Lepisosteus oculatus: one gene and its partner. Each later gene encodes a partner of the first gene's protein in a complex. Links are inferred from orthologs where the notes say so. Each region holds a gene or a part of one and is shown in the gene's direction. Other genes may lie near its edges. The genes, in order: frs2a and ntrk2a.

Region 1 (12,075 bases):
GAAAATACTCAGGAGAGATGATTTTGCATACATTATACTGTATGTCTTCAGTGGTGGATTTGAAATTGAATATTTGTGGCTTGCTAAAGCTCTGAAACGTTCTAAATATGAATCCGATCACAGCACAACACCAACCTTTGATTTTGCAAAAAGCATACAGATTAACTTTAAAGTAGATTCAATGCCGGAATTATAGTTACTTTTGCCTTCGAAGAAAGGTTGCAATTAAACTGCAGCCATGGTGTAATCTATATACAAGGCTGGCGTACGTGTGTCTATGAAACAAGCTTTTATTCAATTTCATCTGTTTGTTTTTCCATCCTAGTTCTAGTTCTCATCATTCCTAGTGGAAACTGTGACCTATTTTATTTCTGAAACAGTAGTTGCAAACTAAAAATCCTTTTTCCAACCCTATTAACATTCATAACTCTTTCCAGTTCTGAATCCGTTCTCCTTAACCTTTATTGACGTAGAACTCCTGTATTTTTTTCTGTCTTAAAGGAAGAGCCAAGAGATGCAAACGACCATAGTGTTAGTGTTCTATTTTAAAAAGAAACTCTCATTGTATGAAAATGGTGGTTCTCAACTGCACCTCAATAATAGTGGGACTTTAGCCTAATTTGACAATTTAGGGATTTCCAAAAAAAGAAGGAAAGAAAGTTACATTGAGATTCAAAGCTGGATTAATCAAAAATAAAGAAATACTGACAGATACCAGATGCCTTTGTCCATCCCAACTTTTCTTTATTGTTCCAGCTTTACATCTATGCTTTCATTACGTTTCACACATTTTACAAATGTTTTGTAATGAGCCTCAGGTGACGTACTTGGTGTTTTAGATTTTAAGAGATATTTCTTATCTTATTAACTTACTAAAACCAAATTCAGCCAGCATTTGTGAAGGATGAGACATACTTTGATACAATCAACCCAGTGCATTTCTTCAGAAGTGACAGTGAAACATGAAATATAGGAAAAAAAGATTACATCTCCAAGCCTTTAACTGAGCTAATGGATGAATAGCAGTAGTGTAATTCAAAGACTGCTATTTCTGCTGTTAAATTGAGACCAGAAAGTATGCTAATGAACTAAACTGATCTCTGAGAAGTTTCCATTTAGAGGTTCACTTGAAAACTTTACACTTCCATAAAAATATTACATTCTGCACCTAGGTATGGAAGACAAAGGAATATTAATGATTCGGTAGTGTTTTATTACCATAATATGTAATATTTGTTAAATGTATCTTTTCAATATGTTTAATTATTGTGTTGTGGATATACATTCCTCTGGGGGAAGGCAAGCAATACAATTTAAAATATAATATACTATTACATGTTGCTTGGAAAATGGCATTAATGCTTTAATTTTTTCAGTGGTTCAGTTTCTGTATAAAGAAGGGCAATATTTATTTAATGTCAAATACATTTCAGAATTTAAAATAAAAACACAAAACTTCAAACATTTTAAATTTTGCCCATTTCTACCCCCGAGAAATATCCACTCCTACACTCAAGCCAGCTGTAATGTGACCTTTTTTATTGTCGGTCAAAATCTGGATATTTTACAGTCTATCAGAAAGAATGGATAAGAAAAAAGGAAAAGAAGTAAATACGCAATACAATAGCTTTAAGTCAATATTGTGGTAATGTCAAAGGAAACAATACATTTAATACATCAATACATTTTCTGTGCCTTAAGCCAATTCCTTGCAGAACGTCAGATATACAGTGAAATTGTGCTTGCAAGTCTGCACAACTGTTGCGAACACCAAATTTAATTAGTATTATGATAACAGAACAGAAACAAATCCCTCCAGGCCCACTGCTATTATTCCTGAAGGTTTTAAAATCATGAATGAGTGGGGGAGGCAGGGGTTTCTAAAGTGCCCTTCGAATGTATTGGGACAGCAAAATCAAAACTATTATTTTTGCTTTACAGTCGAGCAATTTGTGCTTATAATCATGAGATTAATATGAAAGAAAAGTGCAATATAGTATACATTTATTTTTGCACAATCCCTTGCGTGCATTTGATCATTTTAGAACAAAAACATACTTTGTGTTCGAACCAGTGATTTCAAATTACCATTGGTATTGGGACACACCCTCTTTAAATAAAGATCAGAGTGTAAAAGTTAGTATTTGGTTGTATACCTCTTTGATTTAATAACTGCATGAAGCCCGTGACCCATTGAATTTACCAAACTCTTTGTGCAATCATTCTAGATGCTTTGCTGTGGGCACTTTGAGTTCTTGCTTATTCTAAGGGTGTTTTAACGAACGATTTTCCTTAAGCAGGTAAAGCGCATGCTGAATTGGATTACTATCTGGTGATTTACTTGGCCAGTCTTAGATTTTGCATTTTTTTTCTCCTGGTGACCTCCTTGGTGGCACTGGCAATGTATTTTATGTCACTGACAAATGGCACGCTGAAGCCTCGCCCAATATGTAGGGAAGCGTTTTCTTTTACGTAAGCAGATAAAATATTTCCGTAAACTTCAGAATTCATTCTGCCTCAGCCATCATTAGTGACATCATCAAAAAAGACCTGTGATCAGCTCCAGAGGTGGCCACACATACCCAGGCCAGGCTATGTGTCACAGATGGTGGTCTTCTTATAGCGCAACTGCAGTTCCTTTTGTTCCGACAATTTTTTACTTTTCCATCACATGGTCTCACCTATCCTTAAAACATTGTTCCAACAAGTCTTCTGTCTCATCTTTGTACTTCTAAGCAAGTTGTAAATCATGGAGGTTATGTCCCGACTGACCTGGGTATTCTTAACATTACCCTCAGACACTCTTAGGGAGCTCACTGCCTTTGTCACTACCAGCCTCTCAAGGTTTGCTTTAAACAAAGTACTGCCATCGTCACCTGGGCTGATAATAGTGGCTCATCATTATTTGTTGGTCAGGCTGGCGCCCGTCTGAGGTCGACACTAGAGTGACCTGGAAGGATAACAGTTTATTTTCGGTGAACGAGAATTATGATAGCAAGATTGCGTTCCTTCTGAAGAGAAATGCAGTTGCTTCCTCCTGGGAATAAGAGTTCACAAGCGGTGGCAAAACAGGCAGGCGAACCATAGCCAGAGGCTACAGGGACAGAGGGTCAGGAAGGGACTTCTGAGAGTCTTGCCGCAAAGTTCTACATCCCTAGAGAAGGTCGCGCCACCTTCTTAATGTTCAAAATGTCTAAAGTGACGAATGTAGGAGGTGGCTCCTGCCTTGCAGCTAGTCAGAGGTCCTCCACTGACGCCCCATTATAGATGGCCCAGCGTGAGGAGGCGGCCCCAGCAGAATGAGCCCTCAGGACCGCCTGCGTGGACCTCCACAATGCAATGGCTTGCTGGTTCTTGGAGAATGCGGTACCCCAGTTCTCATCCTCAGAGTGCAAAAAAAAGTGCACAGATCTTATAAAAGGCACATACAAATGTAGAGTGCCATTACTGGACACAGAAGATGGACTAACAGCGAGCACAGCTCAGAGGGTGAAAGCGTCTTCTGGAAGGTAGACAGTATCTTAGGCACGGAGGACGGGCTGAGCAGAAGTGTGGCTGAGCTGTGGTCAGGGGTAGGGCTACGATTTTAACACAGGCATTTTTAGCAAATGTCACGGACAGGTCACAGGAAAATAACACCCTAATCATGGAGATGTACTCACATAACACAGTTTTTGCTACATCAATATGGATGCTTTACATATCAGTTTTAACAACAGATCTAATTTTGACTACTAATTAATTGTAGAGTGTAAAATGACCATTTACTCATAGTTAGTACTTTCTGGAGATGATCTGACATGATCTGGCAGCTATGGCGCTGTTTTTTTCAGACAGCTTTTCGTACTAATGTTGTCTAAGTTATGTAGTGGAATGTCAGCGGTGCAGAAAGCCTCTGTACGTCAGTAAATATCTGTCCCACAATACAACAAGTCAGCTTTCTCACTCCTTTTCGTCCTCTGGTTTGTTATCTGCGGTCAAGTACAGGCCTTGCGACTTATGTTCACGCAAAGCGCTCTGCACATGCTTGCCACAGCGTTGGTTTTCTCTTGTAATCTGTGCATTGCAAGCAGCCCAAAACGGCCTCCTTTGGGTAACTCTTACTTCTCTCCTCGGCAGTTGCAGTAGCAGTCGCAGTCGCAGTTGCACGTCACTGTACTTGGCATTGCCATCTTTTCCCCCTACGAGCTGATGCACCCTGGGCCAATGGAATGGCCAGAGAGAGGGAGCACCAGCCCCCAGATGAAACATGCTGGGAAGCTGGGACAATGCCGGGACTCCAGGGAGGTCTTACAGTAAAACGTGGCGGGTGATGGTGAGTGTGGTGGGTGATGTCACATGGCCTTGTGCAGGAATAGGGTTGGGCGGCAAGTACAACATCGCAGGTCCCCTTTCTAAGATGGAGGCATGTAACATAATTTTTAACATAAGATACACTGATTTAAATTCTAATCTTTTAACTATATATGCTTGACATTTTCCTTGACTTTTTATTGCTTCTCCATATTGTCTAGATGTGAATGATGTGTCATCATATACAACCTTTTCAAGCTCAGCATTTTCCCTTAGATATTGCTCCTTTGTTTTGCCCCTTCCACTTAATGTCTGTATTAACCATTATCTGCCACGATTGAATTTTATCTCTATTTTTTAATTTGATGTGCCCTTTCAGTAGTGTTTGCCAATCCTCGTATTCGTCTGTGTCGGCAAACTTGACTAGTTTACTAACTACACTTGACTCTAGATCATTGATATAAATCAGAATGATAGTGGTCCTAGTACAGATCCCTGTGGGATTCCACTATATCACCCCAAGGATTGCCAAGACCATCACTCTTGGGTGTGAGTATGATCAGCACACAGCATGTGCCAGCAAGACCTGAGACACCAGCAGCTTAATTGAAAATTGAACTGGCAATGAATCTGGCAGTCCTGAAGACTTATGCTTTGGGGGAGTTAGAGGATGGAGGATCTCAGGGGTATCATCTTGCTGAGGGCTGAGTCACTGTCAAGACCTCAAGGGGGTGAAAACCAATTGGCGCACTTTGACTGCACGCCTAACAAGAGCTGTTGAGACTACAGGGAGAAAGAGTTTGTGTCCAGGATCAAACCTTGCCAAAACCTCATGGGCACAATCCCTGATTAAGGCTCAAGACCGTACTGACTTTGAGCTGGAGATGTCCACTTCGAGGCTGGAGTCCAACAGCAAGACTTAAGGCTGTCAAGACCCTGAGGAGTAGACAATTGTGCAGGGGTCCAGGGCTCGGCCGTGACCTCATAGGACATACGGTGCGTCTACTTCAATGAGAAAATGCCCTTTTTGAGGCTTGGGGCCTTGAGTTTCAGTCCCCCATCAAGACTTGAGACAAAATCATGACCTCGAGGAAGGTCCTCGCCCATATTAAGACCAAAGAATTGTAGAGCACATAGGAGCTGCAGGTGGACTGAGGCTCGAAACCTTCAAACAGTCAGACCATTAAAACCTCTGATGAAGTCCCACATGGGCTTGAGACTGTCGAGACCATTGTGAAATTAATAATAATAATAATAATAATTGCTTAAACTTATATAGCGCTTTTCTGGACACTCCACTCAAAGCGCTTTACAGGTAATGGGGACTCCCCTCCACCACCACCAATGTGTAGCATCCACCTGGATGATGCGACGGCAGCCATAGTGCGCCAGAACGCTCACCACACATCAGCTATCAGTGGGGAGGAGAGCAGAGTAATGTAGCCAATTCATAGAGGGGGAGTATTAGGAGGCCATGATTGGTAAGGGCCAATGGGAAATTTGGCCAGGACACCGGGGTTACACCCCTACTCTTTTCGAGAAGCGCCCTGGGATTTTTAATGACCACAGAGAGTCAGGACCTCGGTTTTACGTCTCATCCGAAGGACGGCGCCTGTTTACAGTATAGTGTCCCTTAGTTTTTCCCAGGAGGTCTCCCATCCAGGTACTGACCAGGGTCACACCTGCTTAGCTTCAGTGGGTTGCCAGTTGTGAGTTGCAGGGTGATATGGCTGCTGGTTGGACACCGGTATTGGGCTTTAAGACCCGGGGTTGATGAACCCTTGAAAAGCCTTAAGATTTTGTTGAGACCCTTGGAAGCACAGCCATAACTGCTGTGGGTCTCCAGTGGAAATCCAGAGGAAACCAAGATTCAAGATTGGGGCACTCTGACTGCACGCCTAACCGCTCTGCTTTTGCCACTTGAAACCCATTGCTGCAGAGGACAAAATGGAGGGATGAGAGCGAGAGAAGGAAGAGAAAAAGAAAAAGGCTTTCTGGAAACCTAGCAAACTTTTCCTGCAGAGGGTCTCACTAGAGGTTAGAAATTCTCTAGAAACAGCCTCGTTGAAGTAAGAAGTGAGAGATGTGCTGTTAGGGAAGCAAAAAAAGCATGCCTTTATTACTAAAAACCTATATAAGTGATGCATCCATCTTTGAACCAATACATGTGTGATGTCCATTACAACAGAGAAAGAGAAATCCATATTTGAGAATCACAGAGCATCAGCCATCCACACTGACTGCACATTGAAGACATTGGAGATTGTAATTGGCTTAACCAATCAGTGGACTGACTCCCTCATAGAGGTACTGTGCCCACTGCTTAACTCACCCACACAATGTGTTAAGTGCAGTGCTGCCATGTTTAATGCAGAGTTTCATTTTAAAGTATTAACCTTAATCATACAGTATTTAGTTAATTGTGTGATGCGTTCCAGCCAAAAAGGTTTTGTGTTCCAAACCTTTTAATGCTTTGTACTGTAGACACTCCAGTCCAGCTTTAAGAGTTCAAAATAGGAAACTACGAAAACGTTTTGGAATTCCGAGGAAAACACTTTTTTCTCCGTGTAGGACTGTAACATTTACAGTATGAACCAAAACTTTGTCATATTCATAACATATTCAACTAACGAAGTTCGCAACCAAAAGTTTGGAAGCACTAAAACATTCAGAAAAATCCACATGTAGCGCTTCTTAGCAGTTTACACTTTTTTATTTGTATTATCTTTTTATTTTTAACGACGTATATTTAACTTTTTTCTGATGCGTCTTTTGCGCACCAGAAAAATATCCCTCCGTGGTTGAAAAAGTTCGCTCACACAGTTTGTAGCCACACACGAAAACAAAAACCTAAACTCCGTCTCCAATAAATATGACGCCTTCGAAATGTGCATTTACTCGTTCACCAAAGACGGGGCAACCGTTTGCAGCTCTATTGTTCTCGCTAGATAGGTTTCAGGGAGAAACCCAGACCCGACCCCTTCGCCCCCCGCTTTCCAAACGCGCGGTGACCCGGATGCAGTCGGGCTGCGGATCGAGGCCCTGCGCTCCCGGAGCTGCTGGCCAGTCGAGCGAGATTTCCAAGGCTGGGCGACGGGAGAGCAGCTGGCTCGGCTTGTTTGCTCTCTGTTTACCAGCGTTTTCGCCGGATTTCGTTCCCTACGACGCGCGGACTCGGCAGGCACAAAGGACGACAGCGAGAAGTTGGTGAAAAAAATTGTCGAAGGGGGTGTTGTTGTTTTTTTTTTTGCGGGGAAAAGGGAGAAAGCAACCGCTTGTGAAGTTTGGAGCTTGTTTTTTTTTTTGGCGCTCTGGCACGTAGAGGGAGAGGAGACGGAGTTGGGCTTGGGGTTGGTTTCTTTTTCCTCCTCTCCTTCGAGTCGGGAAAAGGGATTTACGCAGCACAGCTACACGGGCGCACGGGAGTCCGGGACGCACGTCTCCAGTGGGACTTCTCCGCGACTTTCCCCGAGCCTCCGTTTCCCGTAAGTTCACCAAAGTTTTGATTCATTTCTGGAAAACGGCGCTGGCTGGTTCTGAAGGGTCCCCCCCCCTTCCCCGCTGCTCTATCCCGGGCGCTGCGGTCACTGCGGAGGCTGCTGGCCGAGGGGTGCCCGCCGGTCCGTGACAGATCCGCCGTGCGGGGCTGGCGGGCGCCTCGCAGACCCCGCTCTCCCCTCGACCGGGAGTTTCTCCGCACGCTTTCGGGTGCGTGTTGTTATGCTTGTGTGGGCTTTAAGAAACTGGGGTGGTGGTGGTGGTTTCGCTTTGCTATGCGGTGAGGAGGGGGGGGGGAGGAGAGGCGAAGAGTTGAGACGCCTTAAAACTTTAAAACAAACCTTGTATATAAGGTTGGGGCCGACGTGTCCGCTGAGTTTTTTATTCTGCTCGGGAAGTGCCCGCTTGCGAGTTATTTTCAACCGTGGCAGTGGGGGCAGCCCGAGTGCCTGTGTTGTGGCACGTATCTGGGTTCATTCAAAACTTTGCTGGATTGAAGCTGGGGGGAGGCATTGCGTTTGTGTGTGTGTGTGTGGAGGGAGGTATTTAAATAATAAAGCGAAGCTGTACGTCTTCTTTCTGTGCAGCGGCGAAGATAGAGGTGGTAAAACATGCATGTAAAACCCTCTGTATATACCGTAGTATTTGAGAAAATGTTGATTTCTTGTACAGCTGGACCCCCTGGGACCTGGATTCGTAACTGGGCTTTGAAATAACACCCTGCAATTAACGTGTGGTTAATGGTGGGGCTAGTTACACTTAATTGGAATTATTGCGTCTAATTATCCGAAGGGGGGGTGTCCCTCGATATAATTGGAAACAGTGAAACGGTTCGTTTTGGAGTTTCTTTTTTTAAAATAACCAACAGGTAAAAGGAATTTTTTATGGACCAAAAAAAAAAAGAATTTAAGAGCGCCCACGGTTGAATTGGCTTCAAAACTAAATGCTCGGCGTGGTGAAGAGCTTCTCAAGACGTGTCCGCGGTTGTAAAGTTGCGGGACGCTGCGACGGAGGGCTGGAGACGTTGCTGTTTGTTCGTGTGGAGGGAAGGCGGGGGGGGTGTTTGCCTGGACGGGGGTTTTGCTCGGCGAGGCTGCGGCTGAGGAGTAATGAGGTAACTCGAGGGAGAAAGGGCTGGCGCAGCGCCAGGGGGGTTTAACTAGTAGCCAGTGCGCGGACCCACGCCCCCCCCCCACTGGCGAGGTCCTCGAGTGAAAAGGAGCTGCGTTTTGAGAATAACGGAATCAAATTCTCTGCATTTCTTGCTAGTCTTAAAATTATTGGTGCTGACATTTACGCCTTTATAGTTTTTTTGGGGGGAGTCCAGGGAGAGAGAGAGAACAGACTTTTTCAAATTCAAGTCAGGTATTTTGTTCAGACTTGGTAGTAGCCTATCTGCTATACTCCCAACTATTGTTTAAAGATAATCCTTATGCAAGAAATACTTTATGGTTTCCTAAGTGTTTTGCCTGGGTGTTGTCTAGGAATTATTGTTAATCTAGACTCGGTATTCTCAGTTTAGCCTTCTATCAAATAAAAAGTGTGGTTTTGTTCATTGCGCATAGGACAATTGTGCCCATTTGATTTATTTTTACCTTAGTTTTATCGGAGTTAGTAGTGATGTACAACATTGGTAATATTTCTGTAGCGCCGACAAGTCGTATTTTCGTATTTACCCGGTGACTGTCGTGCTTATTTTCGATATTTTGGTGTCGTGCGAAACATTATATCACCTTATCTTGGGTTTGAAACCGCGAACCGTCTGGGTAGCTGCTAAAGATTCCGAGAAAATTGGCTGAAAAGTTAAATTTACTTCGAAAAGCAGACAGACAGGAAAACGAGTAATTTCATCCCACAGCTCGTAATTGTTAGCTACCCATGAACGGGAGAACGCCGTGTCAGTCAGAACAGTAATAACCAGCTTACTTTCACTCCGGTCCGTAGAGGGATTTTTTTTTTCCCGAATTCGCAGATTTTTGTCTTGTGTGTTCATGGAGTAGCCAAAACCTTTTGATCGGTGTTTGTTCTGGATAAAAAAAAAAGAAAAACGAACGTTTCGAGCACTAAAAAAGGGTTACAGCCGTACTTCAATTAGGATATAAGCTTATTTGTGCTAAACAAATCAAACGGAACCCCACAGCACTGGGAAGTATTTGAGCTTTTCGGACCGCTAACTTATTATTGTGTATTACAAAATCTTGCGTATAATGTTTTTTTTATACTATTTAGTCTCATAGTCATACAATCCCAATGTTATGTCTATTTCTTTCACTTTGCAACCCACTCAAAACGTTTTTTCGGCCCTTTACTGTGATACAATACTGTGAGTACTTTAAACCCAGTGCAAAGAATTTAAGAGAACGAAATACAAAGCAAATATAAACCCCTTTAGCTCTTGTGGTACTTTGAATGTATCTTTCAATGGGAGCGTTAAATGAAACGATTTAACAACGTCTCTGCTCTTCACCGTTTCAGGAGCTTCGAATTAAAAAATGCACGAGAGAAGGCTCATAGAAAACTTGTAGATACAGGAGAAATTGTGGCTTCTTTTCCACGTACACTTACATGTAGTTACTTAAGTGTAAAAAAGGTTTGTGCCTTTCATTTGGACTCCCTTTAAATTGCCTTAAGAGAGCCATTTTGTTCAAAATAAATGTAGAGTCTGATTTTTTTGTGCTTCTTCTGTAAAAGCACAAATACACAGGCAAAACAAGTTGCATGAACTCACACGAAGGAAATCAAAACAACAGTAGGAAATAAATGAGTAAAAAAAGCTTTTCCAGAGGAATATTCCTATGACTGTTTTTTTTGGTTTGCTTCATTCATATAATTGACTCTTGGGTGCTGTGGAATATAGCCTGAGTTTTTTCCCCCTCTTTGTCATACTGTACCTCATACTGTACTCGGCAGATACATCTGTGAGGTTTAGTGTCTCAGTGCTCCACCTTGGCAAAAATATATCAAGTGGGGGGTGTTTGTCGATCTCCTGGTCACATTCCTGTGACTCCTGTTGGATAAGAAACAGTTCTGTGAGAACTGCCCGCGTGTGGTGCTGTTCATCCCAGAGCACTTTACATAACGGAGGAGACGCGCGTCCCCAACCACCCAACAAAGTGGGGCTGCCCCCAGTACTCAGCCGGTCAGGTGCAGGAGACTGGGATCGCTTCACCGATTGAATTAGGTGTTAGGGGGTTAGGTGTTTTAGGGTGTGCCAGCCCAGAGTGGAGATTAGTCAGGACTCCAGGGTTAACGCCCCTAGGTTTTCTAACTGTGCCATGGCCATTGAGGTCCTGGGTTGAAGAGGTGTTAGTGGGGCCAGCAGGGGGCGCTCACCCTGTGGTCCACGTGGGTCCTAATGCCCCAGTATAGTGATGGGGACACTATACTGTAAAAAACAGGTGCCGTCCTTCGGATGAGACGTAAAACCGAGGTCCTGACTCTCTGTGGTCATTAAAAATCCCAGGGCGTTTCTCGAAAAGAGTAGGGGTGTAACCCCGGCGTCCTGGCCAAATTTCCCATTGGCCCTTACCAATCATGGCCTCCTAATAATCCCCCCTCTATGAATTGGCTTCATTACTCTGCTCTCCTCCCCACTGATAGCTGATGTGTGGTGAGCGTTCTGGTGCACTATGGCTGCCGTCGCATCATCCAGGTGGGGCTGCACATTGGTGGTGGTGGAGGGGAGTCCCCATTACCTGTAAAGCGCTTTGAGTGGAGTGTCCAGAAAAGCGCTATATAAGTGTAAGTTGTTATTATTATTATTATTATTATTATTATCTCCTTTGAAGGATGACTTTCAGCACAGTGCCCCCCCCTGTCATCACGAGGGGATGATAGCCAGAGGCCTCTGGACCAGAGAGGGTGACTGCCGCCTCCTGGTCGGCCAACCGCAACCTGGTTTTTCCCCAAGAGGTCACCCATTCTGCCACTGATCAGGCCCAGCCTCGGTTAGCCTCTGCGATCTGCCAGTTTGCTGAGTGTTTATGAGCCTGTTGCAGTGTGGATGTGTTTTTGATAGGTTAGTTAGGCAGACAGGGGACAAGTGAAAAGAGCCTTTCACCCATGTAATCAACTGAGCCTAGATCAGTGGTTCCCAGCCCCGGTCCAGGAGGATCACTATCTGCTGGTTTTCATTCTAACTGAGCTACAGTACATGTCCACTGCGAATTGAGGACTTCATTGATCTGCTTGCTTGTTTAGACTTGTATTTAACTTGTTTCTTTGGTCTGTTCTGAGAGTCACAAATACTCGACTTCAGCTGTCCTGTTTCTAACAACCTCATCA
Region 2 (12,696 bases), on another chromosome or scaffold:
AATATTGTGTGAAAATGAAAAAATTAAATAACCTCAAAATAAACAGTAACAAGTAAAGTGGGAAAAGTATGAAGCTTTATTTTGTGACAACTAGTTGTTTATTGTATATCATGTGATTCTGTATGATGGCACTACCTGGTTAAATGTTCAAAATATGAAGATGTCAATAAAGTTAGTCCATTTGTATTTTTATGTTAAGATTGGCTACCTAGCTTTTCAAAGTGTATACTAAGTTTTAAATTACAAATAGCATTGATTGAGCTCTGCACTTTGCCCTTGCACCTGTTGCTTGCCAGGATAGGTTCCAGTTCCCCTGTGAACATGTATTAGATAAAGCCATTAGAAAATGGATGGATAGAAGTATTGCTCTTGCTAAGAAATAGTCTAGATCAATTCTAGATCATTCTAGCAGTTACTTTTTCTAGATCTATTAACACCTTCCAGTACTCATCTTCTACAGCAAAGGATATATAATGCAATAATAACAAAACTCATACAGTATATTATATTTAGGGTGAACAAGTTCTCACTTTGTTACAATTATTCTTCAAAAAGAAGGACTATTTACCATAAAATATTAAAAAAATAAAATAATTATATTTAAAATTAAAATTTAAACACTATTATTATGAAGCAAAAGCACTTAATATATGTACTTTACTTTCTTTGGATATCTGTGCCCCATCTTTAATGAATGAAGATGTGCATTGAAAAATAACTCAACATATACATTATTTAGAAGTTTTCTTTTGGCTAAAAATTTTATGAGCAATTACATTTAAATGTAGCCTAACTATGGCAAATATAGGAAGACAATAGTGAAGATGCTGGGAGGCTTCTATGAATAATAGATCAACTATACTAAGAGGCTAACTCACGTAAGGACTTATGTGCATCTTATAAGTCTGTTTACGTCACTACAATGTATTTTGGTTCTGTGAAAAGAAGGCACCAGATATTAAATGGTCACAACTTTGATTTATGCTGTTTTTTCTTGTTGATTTTATTAGTACAACTAATGTGCCATTAAAAAGTACTTCATATCCCTGGTCATGTTGTGCAAATTATTAAAAGCATTAGCAAGGATATTGTTAGGTCTGAGGTCACACTTTTAAAGACGGCGCAATAACATGGTCAAAGTTCTGTATGGAAAGAACCATTAATCTTTATTACCTATTAAAAGATGTGCAAGTGCAGCTTTTCAAATATGCCGAAACACTTAAGAAACCAAAATCCAAGATCTAAGAAAAAAATTAAATGAGGGCTTGATTTATTCTCTTATACTGTTCTTATACTGATATTTCATCATCTGAGAACATTTGCAGTATAACTAGTAAGATTAAAATAATTTATGATATAGATTACATGCTGCATTAAAGTCAGACGTGATCCTTCCTCACTTAGGTTTTCCACAATTAAGTAAAACAGTGGCTTTTGTTTGTTTAAAGCAGACAGGGGGAATACTAGCATCTTGGGTAAAACTTGCCTTGGTCCACTGATATTTTCTATAGAGACCAAACTTAGATCATCTGGTTGGAAAGTGTGATGTGTCAGAGGATTCATCAAACAAAGGGGAAGTGAATCCGGCTAAGAAAACCCAGGTGTTTCCAAACATTTGCACTACTGAACCATCAAACACACAAAGAAAATGAATCTGTGCTGCACAACAGGTCAAAAAGTATTCCTTAGAAAACATCAGGCAAGGAACTTAGAAGCCAGTGGGGAACATGCACCATGACCTCCTCTTCTTCAGTGAAGGCAACTCAGGAAAAAGGTTGTTGAACTCAAGTGCATTTAGCTGTATCTAGTTTGAAGAACGTTAAAGGAAACAGTTTAGTCCAGATCATCATCATTGACAGGTTCTTGAGGTCTTAAGAGCACTCACATTTTGGCTCTAAGTGATCTGTATATTCCTAAACTCAATAAATCACCTGCTTTATCAATCCCAATGACATTCCTCCATGGATTTTTTTAAAGAAAAGATCTAAAGTTCTTTTTTTATTTGGAGATCGTCTGTTGTTGTTGAAAAAAATAACTATATATATATATGTTTATACACAAATATAGCAAATAAATAAAACAAATATTATTCTTTAACAATAACTTACTCTTATAGTCACTTGACCAGAAAAGTGGAGACTATCCTTTTAATACCGTATATGTAAACCTGCACCTTTTAATCTAGCACTCGACAGTTCATTTTGAAACATGTCCCAAAACACAATTAGCCAGCAATGTTATGTGGCCATAAGAGGTTCAGTCCAGAGCTTAAGTATGATTTCCCTTAGCTGCTGTTAAACCCACCAATATATTTTGTGTTGCATTACTTTAAAACCACTCAGCGAGTGGTCATCTTGATACAAATTAACAGAGATCAGGTCTCAACTCTGATAAAACAGATATTATGCTAGCTACATGTTTCAATAATGCTGCTGAAGCAGGATTGTTCCAGAAACATGAAGAAAAGTACAAGGTGCATAAGTTTTACTCATATTACAAGGCAAATATGAGAAATTGATATATTCATGGTAACCTATTGGATTAGGGTTCTTCAGGAACCTGGAGTATTATGTTCAACAAAACATTATTTTCTTTCTTATAATTTTGACAGACATTGTATCTGAAATGATAAAACTGGATTTTTTGTAATCATCTTCTCTGGGAACATTGGCACAAATAATCATGGTTATAAGACTGCCTGACAAATTGAGTATGACTAAATGATGAACAAAGAAGACAAAAACATCTAAATGGATCCATGAATGAGCAATTTAAGTTATAGAATAACTAATTACTCAAGTAGGTTAATCTATCCTCATATTTGTACAAAACAGATAGGGACATACCAGAAGCAAGAACAGACAGAAGAACACTAATGGCGGGCGTCGTAGCTGATGACAATGAAGCTATTGCTTCTGGTGTGGCTCAGATGTTATTAATTAAAGCTACAGATTGTCTTAGTGCTTCTTAGAGTTTGGGTTGATTTCTTTCCTTTATCTTGGAGTGCAGCAGAAAACGAGACAGCTTGTTGTTACATTTTCGCAGCCAATCACATTGTGCCATTTAGACGGACCACCTACATTGGGTCATAATTCACCTCTCACATACACATTAAATGTTATCACACTCTCCATTTTACCTCTCACAAACACACACAAAACGCTCTCACATTCAACAGTTTTGTCTCTCACGCTCACATTGTGAAGGAGTGTTTTATATATATGTGCGAGGTAAAACTAGCTTTAAACCGAGGAAGCAGTTATCTGTTCATGGATACACATATTTGTCCGATAATAAAGAATGAGCATTGCTATATATTTTATTTTCTCCCTGGCATATCTGTAAAGATTTTTGAACGGTACTGTACACTTGGGGAGGTTTTTACATGAGCTGGCCTTGCTATACAAAATCTTTTACGGAGGAACTGGAGTTAGAGTGGCCTATGTTGAGAAAAAGCATTAGTGCACCCTAAGCTAATAAATCCCTTCATATAGCCCTGATACTACATTAGAAATTCAGGCTTTGTAAGTATCAGACCATGTCATTGGTATTTGTCACGACCACCAGCCTGCCCAGACCAGCCCCCAAGAGAGCTAACCAGTGTCAGCAGCAGGGCGATACTTACAAGTGCCGCTGCACGTGTTAACTCAGTACCGGAAGCCCTACCGTGCGGCCAGCTGCAGTATTTTAGCCATTCAGACCCACTTCTTGCTGCTCCGTATTGAGTCTACTCTTTGAGAGCTCTACCTGGCATTTATTCTGTACCTCACACTCTTCTGGATTCTGGACTTCCCTTTTGCCTTTTGACTTTGGACCTCGCCTCTCGTTTTGGATTGTTTGCCACTATTTGTACTTCTTGGATTTCGAACCACCTTTCTCCTTTTGACCACGAACTCGCCTGACATACCGGATTGTTCGCCTGCCTCGACACCTACCTACTCCTGCAATCCCAGTGCAGGAGTAATCCACATATCTCTTCACTGGGAATTCCCTACAGTATTTGGATTAATAATAGGGCCTAGTTTATTACACAGTTTATACTGTAATGTCTGTGCTTTCACTTGTTATACATCACCTTGAAATAGCCATCTGTTAGCAACTCTGTCTCATCATCTCCTGTACTGTCAGAGCCTTTACTGCAGATTACTGCTTAGAAGAGAGGGATTCAGAAGCAGTCAGTTTGATTAAGCATAAACATGGTAACACACTTTGGACACCCAACCAGAGCTACTGATCAGAACAATAATCATAAGGTTAGACGTCTTTTAATGCTCTGAATTAAAACATTCAAATATAAAGAGATTATATATGATAAAATGCAAATTTAACTTAACTATTTAACTATCTAATAAAATGCAAAATTTCAAATTGTATTAAATGTAGGTTAAAAGGAGTGCAGACTAGATGTAAACTTGAAAAGAACAGATTTTGTCTGGAAGGATTTTAGCCTACTGTAAGGAGAAAACATAAGACATAAAGGTTGAACCAGAACAAACAGCCTTTGGTGATTCAAGTACATGTCAATTGTTTTACCTTCAATTTGCTTAGGTAAAATACATTGTGGAACAAATGCCAGGTCTCAAGTAATGTACAATTATCCAATAGTTCTCAAAAAGTTGATTCAGTGGGATATTTTGGGGGGAGTGAAAAAAAAGATTGTTTTTGAATGTCTGAATTACTACTAAGAACAAACAAGGCCCTTATAATATTGATTTAATTATATTTAATATAATTAGATAAACACAAAATTATTGAGTGAAGCACATTATCCAGCTCTCTACATTAATCTTATATGGGCAGACTTGCTGATTTTGCAAACCTTGAAATATTCTTAGACACAATAAAACAGGGAGAAGATTCCCTAAGTGAATCAATGCTAAATATGCGCCTATTAGACACTGGGCCATTTTTCAATTACAGCTGCATGTCAATTTTCCTTGCGAATTGTCTGAGTCTTTTAAGATGTACTTATCAAGAAAAAATATCAATGTTAAGAGAATGGTCAAGTATTTTTTCCTTGCATACATAGACTTCAGTTGAAAAGGTAGTTGGAGAACAATTATAAACATCCAGTGAAAGTCATATCTGTTTTGAAACGTTGAAATGTGATTGTTATTAATTTAGTTAATTTTGAAATCTTTTGCCTCTCTACCCAAAGTCATTTAAGGAGTGCAGAATATTTGTATAAGAAGTATGTATAAGATAGCAGTCAAAGGAGAGCATCTACTTCCACGATGGACTGATGAGCAGACAGATTGATGGGCAGCTACAGTGGCAGGATGAGAGCTTGAATTTGAAATTCAAAACGTAGTTAGCTAGTTATCTGGCTCGGCTGGGAAATGGATAAAGGGCTGGTCTGTTTCAAACTTCAATACTGGATACTCTGGATGGGATCAGGTTGGATTGTTTACTGGTCCTGTGGTATGCCAACACTGGCCAATGTATTCATTTTACCAGTGTAATGACTGTCATGTGTACAAATTTAATTTAGTGCTATCTAGGAGGCAGAAGTGCTCATCTGGAGCTTGTCATAGAAAATATTGTTAATATGCATGTATTCTGTAAAAACAGGCAGATAATGTGTTTAATGCTGTATTGAAATATTATTTTGTAGTTTTGAAGGATAACCTGTAGTTATAGCTTTTGTTCATTGCATTAGACTGTAGGTTTTGTCATTTCTGATTACTTATCTTGTAACAATCATAACTCTATCTAGTAACAGTTTGTGCAAAGACTCTACAAACATCACAGTTGGAAAGCACTGCCTGCACTAAAACCTCATTGATCCTTTTGAACTTTATTGTTTGAGTTGCAAGCAAAATAATTTAAATAAAATCAGATGAGATCATTCACAGATGAAGAATTCAAGAATAATGTCAATAGGAATAATCTTTTTGCCTTTCAGTGTTTCAGTCAATAATTACAGCCCACATTAATTATCAAGCTAGTCCAAACAAGCTTTTTTGTTGCTTCAAGGAACAACATTCATAATCCCAAACAAGTTACAAAAACTTTGAAAGTGCCAGTAAGAATTTTGTCATCAATAAGGAATGGCTTGTTTTCAGATTTCATATTTTATTTTCTTTAAAGTTTCTTTGGAATACGGTGTGTGTATGTGTGCGCACCTTTTTTTTCCAATACATTTTTGGCTAAATTGGACCACATTAGCAGCTCCACAGCTGAAAGGTTGTGTTTCTTTTCATCTCTTTTCTGAATGAAATAAACCTTTATCTGTTCCTTTTCAGCCTACACATGCGGACACAGCTACCTACTGTATTTGCTACTCTTGGTTTCCTGTACATGAACAAGTTCTAATTTCAAAGTCATGCATAACCTTGAATGCCTTCTGTCTGTTTCATACTGGGAAAAACACAATCTTGTAACAATTGCATTTAAAAAAGAGTGGTTTTGCCAAGGAAATATGTGTAGAGGTGTTTTTTAATACCTTTCCATTATGTAAATCACATACAGTAGTTCCACTTGTTGGGCTGTACAGAACTGCAGCTGACTTGACGTTGCCTGAATTCTCAGTATGAGCCTTCAAAATGCTGATGATGGCATATTTTTGGACATTTTACCGTTTTTTCTTATGATTCACAACTATACTGTGTATCATCAATACTCTTCATCCCTTGCCTCCGTACAGTTCCTTCTCAGATTTGTGCTCTTTGGATCTTTATCCTCCTTGCTGGAGACTTAGTGGGTATTGCCATTCTTGGGAACCATTTCAGAATGTCTGCAGTCCAATACCAACACATAATACATTAAAGTTCATACTATGTACAGTATACACAAATGCTTATTCATCATGACCTGTATGTAATAAATACAATAAGCCTCTGAAGACGCAAGGGCGCAGCTAGGTCAAGGGATTGTGTATTATTCACATGTGCAGATTTTCTAAAGTCTCGCTAGGTGTCAGGGCAGCCATTTAAAATGTGCCTATCACTCTGCTGAATTACTGCGGTACAATGTCTGGAGCCAAATGAATCGGCGTATTCCCAGAAAACACATTGTCTTCACCTTTCGGCAACCACGATCCCACAATTACCACGGTTAACAACAGGTGCTCTTTATTATCGTTGTGTGGGTGGAAAATAAAAGCTCGCTTTACAAGTTTCTTATCGGCAAACGACGAACAAATCTCTGTACCCTGAAGGTTATACAGTAGAATACAGCTTGTCCCTTAAAGTGAAGCATTTAGTCATATATACTGTATATACACATTGTTATTTATACATACATTATACATATTTAAATTAGACAAATTTAGAATTTTGATAATAGATAGCGCGACAGAACTCTTTTAGTAACCTAAAGGGGTTGAATTACATATAATGCAGATACTATTTGTGTAAATACGATCTATTACATGTAATCATATCAAATATAGACTATTATGAAGAATGTGTGAGGTGTGTTTATGCTGCGGTAAATCCGTGAGGAGAACATCGTGACTTCGTGCTAGGAAAATGGGAAATTCCCATTTGGTGACATTACGTGACAAAAACACGGAATTACACTGCAGGCGAAAGTTTTGACAGACACGACTAGGTGTCTTGTGACGCTGGAGACAGGGTTTTATTGCGTTTCTGCCTCCTTGAACTCTGAGCATTATCCTGTAATTTCTCAATTCTTTATGCAATGTATTTCCTGTATAAATAATAATTTATACAGAAGCGATGCTGGTCCAGTGTAATTGCTGCGGATATACAGTATTAGTGTTTTCAACGGCTGTTTGCTGCTGATTGTTTTTTAACAGGTGATATTGCCACTAACACACATTTAGAAACCTCGAAGCGTACTTCACTTTTTTTGCGCTAAATACAGACACTATGCTTGCGTGTACATGTTTAGTTTCAAAATTGTAAAGATAAAAGCAAAATATTTGGAATCACTTCAAGCATTTTACAGTAGGCATTTTGGCGTATTTCTGATTTCTGAGATTCTCTCAGAATCTCATATTTGCGTCAAATATCACGTCACATTCACAGCTATTGGAATACACTACGTGAGTGAGTGCCTATGTGTGTGTGTGTGAAACAACGCGGCACATTGACTCTCATCCGATATTTGGTAATGCTGGATTTAGTGACTGGCAATAGGTATTGTTAAACATTTTCTATAGCATTATTTTGGTATCCATACATTTCCTACCTCACATTTTATAGGTACAGTACAAATCATATCTTTAATCAGACTGTAAATTAAACACACTTGGAAGCTTTTACCGCTTGCTTGTTCTGAGGTACAGTATATCACTGCAGCCTCATCAGGTAATATGAAGGTGTGCCTTTGATTAAATTCAAACATTTTTTTTAATCTGATTTTCTCGAATGTCAATCTCCTTTCGAAATTTATATTCCGGTGTAGGTTGTCTCACCATGTTTTAATATAATGGTATTCTAAATGATTAACATGTTTCATGCCATGCAAAGCCAGTCTCCAGTTTTGTCTATATAGGATTTATTTTGTTCTGTTCTAGCAATAACCTTTTGCTCCTGGAAAATCGCAGCGAAAATCATTTCTGATATCAGGCTCGTAATTACAACGAGCGGCTGTTGTAGGTTTATCGCGTGTGGTAATTATCGATATACGACTGCTGGTACTCGGTACCTCCTTGCCTTGTCCTCATCACGCACTTACTCGCTCTTTCACTACAGCACCACACGCTCGCTTCAGCCTGCGTGGATCATCTCTGCCTGTTTTTTTTTTTCCTCCAGCCCTGCAGCAGAAACGGAGCAGCAGCAGCAGCAGCAGCAACAGCATCATTTTTTCTGTGGTGTTTTGCACCACTGCGATCAACCAGCCAACCCAAATCTCCTTGGAGAGTGAAGACACCGAACGAAAAGGAGAGAGGGGGGAAGGAAACCTTGGCACACTTTAAAGCCTTTACATTTAATATTGTATGACTCTCTTACTGCGGAGAGAGAAAAGACAATTCGATCACAACCTCACCTCTTACCGAAAGGATTATCTCATGGTTTTTCGCCTTTGTTTCTGACAAGATCGCCGACAGGTTTATAAGGAAGGATCATTTAACCAAATCTGGAAAGGGCAACGAGGGATCCACTATGATCTCCTCTTGGAAGTGGCGTGTAATGGCTCGTTTGGGATTTTGTTGGATTTTGCTGGGGCTTTGGAGGTTTAGCGCCGCTTGTCCTGCAGTTTGTACATGCAGCACCTCAAGAATTTCATGTACCAGTATCGATCAAGAATGGGGAATCAAGGCTTTCCCTGTATTAAACACCGATATAGAAATGGAAAACATTACTGAAATGTGAGTATCATCCACATGAGAGATGGATACGTTCAGGATTGGAATAATGTGTCCAGTTGTACTACAAAAATCATAACGAAACGAAAATGAAAAAAAAACATTAAGACGAAACGCGTTGCAATGTGCGGTGAGCAAAGCCAGAATTAAGTTTCATTCAAGCAGCATCGTGCAAGGTTGACTTATCGGCTCATCTGTTACAGCGGGCTAGTGTTAAAGAAAATAAAATCACTGGAGGACATGTGTGGAAAGGATGAGCAGAAAGATTGAAGGAATGTATCAAAAGGAAGCTCCGGCAGATTGTTTTCAGAGTGCTTTTAAAATAAACTTGTAAAGTGGCCAATTCTGTTCACACAAATACACTGGAAGTAAATGGATTACTGTATATGTTAGGTTTATGTAGATCTTAAAGGATTGTCAGTGGTAAATGCGATGTACACTGTACTGTACTGTATGAGCCATTAAAGGGCAGCATCAGTTGAACTACACGCTTATATGTATGTTCAAACAGTGGCCGTGGTATAATTATTTAACTAAAATGGACCCAATACCCGACACTAGACAACGTGTGTGGAACAAGAAACACGTATTTGCGAAAACGACTTTCAATAGGATGTATGTCATTTTTTCATTGGAAAGGTGCTGAAATGTGGAACGGCTTAGGCTGCTGCTGCTATCAGCCAGTTTTGCATTCCCGTAATAAGAGGATTGATAGACTGTAAAGGAACGCAACCCTAGCAAAATCCGAGCAAAGACGCGGCATATTAGAATCACTCCCTACAGCAAACGAATTTAGTTCTTGGCTCACCTTTAGTTTTAGATACGATAAATTGACTTTTTATTGGTCAGCTAGGTTATGCAGAAGCATAGCTATTATACATCAGCTGTGGTGTGAAATTATAAGACTGTTATTCTTCCTTTTTTATAACTATCTTATTATTGAAAAGATAGACTGCTGAGATAAAAAAGGCCCTAAACATAAATGTGGCCATTGAAATTTAAAGGAAGCAGAGTCGTATAATTCGCTACACATTAATCCGCGAAGTGTCTTTTTTGCTAAAGACTTAACATCAAGCCCCTTAGGTACCTGAAACTATTTTTTTCTTATTTGTTGTACAAGGTAGATTTCTTTCAAACAGACGATAGAGCGCATTTAGTGTAGCCTTATTTTATACTAGTTATTTAGGTTCTTAGACTGTATAATTTGCTGCGATATAAAGTCTTCAAACACTGTGATATAACTATGGGGAAACCACCAGTGCATCAAGAAAAGCGTTAATTGACACACAACTGTTAGATCGATCCAACTTTGAATTTAAGAGACTAGATCAATTAATCGATAAAAAAAAATTCACCTCGCCAGCTGTTTTCATCAAAATATTTTAAGGCCTTTACTAAGGCATACAAAATGACTAAAGCATGTAGCCCACTTTATAGAGGCGTTTTACAGAAGCGATTATATAAGGAATTGCTAAAAAGCAATAACTGGACTTAACATAAATTAATTGATAAAATATCTTAAAGGGCCCTCTTTTTTATAAAAGCACAACACACAATGAGCAAAGGGATTCTTTAATAGTTTTTGGAAATGACAAAAATATTCAAGAATGGTTAGTGAACATGTAAGGCCATTATTTTAAGTTATGCACATTATATTATTAACTGTGTAAAAGGCAAATTAATTTTTTGTAACATTATTTTAATGTCTTTTAACAGATACATTGCAAATCAAAGTAATTTACATGCCATCACCGATAATGATGTGAAGTTCTATAAGAGCCTCAGGAATTTGTAAGTATCAGATATTAAAAACAGCAATGATAATACTTATGACAACAGTCGACAACAACAATAATCATTTTGTTTTCATTGTCAACAGAACTGTGACAAACTCGGGATTGACTTATATATCCCGTTTGGCCTTTCAGAACAATGTGAAGCTACAATATCTGTAAGTAATGGTTTTGTAAGTTGTAAGTTGAGTACTTTCATTTCAGTTTATGGATAAATGAAAAAAAAAACTTAATGTTATATACACATTTTTAATTATTTTAATAAATTACTAACATCTAGTGTACAACATGAAAACCTAGTTTTCTTTTTCAGTCATGTACACATACTTTGGTGTTCATTTGGATTTCAAGTGATTAATTTTAAAATGTCTTGACAAAGGGGAGTGTGCTAAAAATATTGTATTTTTCTTTTTGCCACAAAATGATTCAGACATTTTACATTGCAGCAGGTTCTTTATATCTACAGTATATCTCAGTGACAGTGTTCAGATGTATTGTGATTTTATAACCGGTCAAGAACTATAAATACAATTCTGTGTGCAGCACAATTTGAAACTGAGCATGGTGTCTTCTCAAATAAGAGCCAAATCCTAGCGTTGGCTGATGTACTAATAGGCCTTGTCTGCTAGGTTTACTCACTGCGTGTTTTGTGCTATGAAGGTGTTTATTTGTGGATTGATTGAATTGCAGGAATCTAAAAGACAACAGGCTGTCATCATTGTCTTGGAGGACCTTCCGGCATTTAAACTTGACAAGTTTGTAAGTATTTGTGATAAAGCAAAATATCTGTCTATGGGATTGTTTGATAAAATATGCATGCTTTTACCTTAGGAAAGGCTGATATGAATCCTTTTTGTGTGACACAAGCAAAAATATGTTTTTTTGTAAATTCAAGATAATTGAATAAAATACAGAATAAAGTAGTTTTACCCAGTAAAAATAAACTTTGCCACGGATTTCCTTTATTTTCTTGTCTTTTTAGAACTGTCTATCAAAATAGCACTTTAATGTGAAAACCCTGCCATTTAGTATCCTTTCAGGCAATCCTTTGCAGTGCTCATGTGGTAACTTGTGGATCAAGCTATGGCTGGGAGATGAAACAGAGAGCCAAGAGATAGTGTGCTGGGATGACAAAAATAGAAATAAGCCACTCTCCAAACTGTCTCTTCCAGAGTGCGGTAATTTCAATTTTACTATTATTAAAATTAACCCCCGAATAAAATGCACATGATTTATTTAACCATGCAATTTGGTGTACTATATATAAAAACATGTATTTTCATTAAAAAAAAAAACTGTTGAAGGGCTTGTTGTGAAATAACAAGTGGTGGGATGATAGTTCAATTATTAAAGATAACTTTTGAAAAATAACTGAAAAATAACACGACGTTTAGCATTTAATATGTTTTACGTGGATGAAGGGTAATGGTAAAGTTCTGGGTCTGGCATTCTTCCTTCGCCCACTGGAGTTAATGATAATGCATTCAGGTTCTGTATTCACAGTGATGGCATTTCATTAAGATGCATTATCTGGTCAAACACATTTCCTCTGCTTCAGAAGCAAAAGGAACTTGATTGCAGTTGTGTTCAGAAAAAGCTTAATATGTTAACAAGTAAGACATCACT

Evidence for each region.
Region 2: the proteins of frs2a (region 1) and ntrk2a are in contact, whole or in part, in an NMR structure (PDB 2MFQ), measured with the Homo sapiens proteins. The link is inferred for Lepisosteus oculatus from reciprocal best matches to the Homo sapiens genes FRS2 and NTRK2. Residues at the interface, in NP_001036020.1 of Homo sapiens: Val26, Asp27, Asp28, Asp29, Gly30, Tyr59, Leu60, Cys61, Leu62, Arg63, Arg64, Tyr65, Gly66, Tyr67, Asp68, Ser69, Asn70, Leu71, Phe72, Ser73, Gly77, Arg78, Ile86, Ala88, Lys90, Phe98, Gln102, Met105, Gln106, Ser109; in NP_001018074.1 of Homo sapiens: Pro498, Asp499, Val501, Ile503, Gly504, Met505, Thr506, Lys507, Ile508, Pro509, Val510, Ile511, Glu512, Asn513, Pro514, Gln515, Tyr516, Gly518, Ile519.

What each region holds. Positions count from the first base shown.
Region 1 is NC_090702.1:23,424,709-23,436,783, reverse strand, and holds the start of frs2a (fibroblast growth factor receptor substrate 2a), read left to right. Parts: upstream 1-7,093; 5' UTR 7,094-7,778; intron 7,779-12,075. UniProt on the Homo sapiens protein: Adapter protein that links activated FGR and NGF receptors to downstream signaling pathways.
Region 2 is NC_090698.1:61,691,882-61,704,577, forward strand, and holds the start of ntrk2a (BDNF/NT-3 growth factors receptor), read left to right. Parts: upstream 1-7,701; 5' UTR 7,702-7,762; intron 7,763-8,012; exon of another isoform or gene 8,013-8,105; intron 8,106-8,592; exon of another isoform or gene 8,593-8,723; 5' UTR 8,724-9,074; coding exon 9,075-9,280; intron 9,281-10,993; coding exon 10,994-11,068; intron 11,069-11,156; coding exon 11,157-11,228; intron 11,229-11,760; coding exon 11,761-11,829; intron 11,830-12,099; coding exon 12,100-12,248; intron 12,249-12,696. UniProt on the Homo sapiens protein: Receptor tyrosine kinase involved in the development and the maturation of the central and the peripheral nervous systems through regulation of neuron survival, proliferation, migration, differentiation, and synapse formation and plasticity.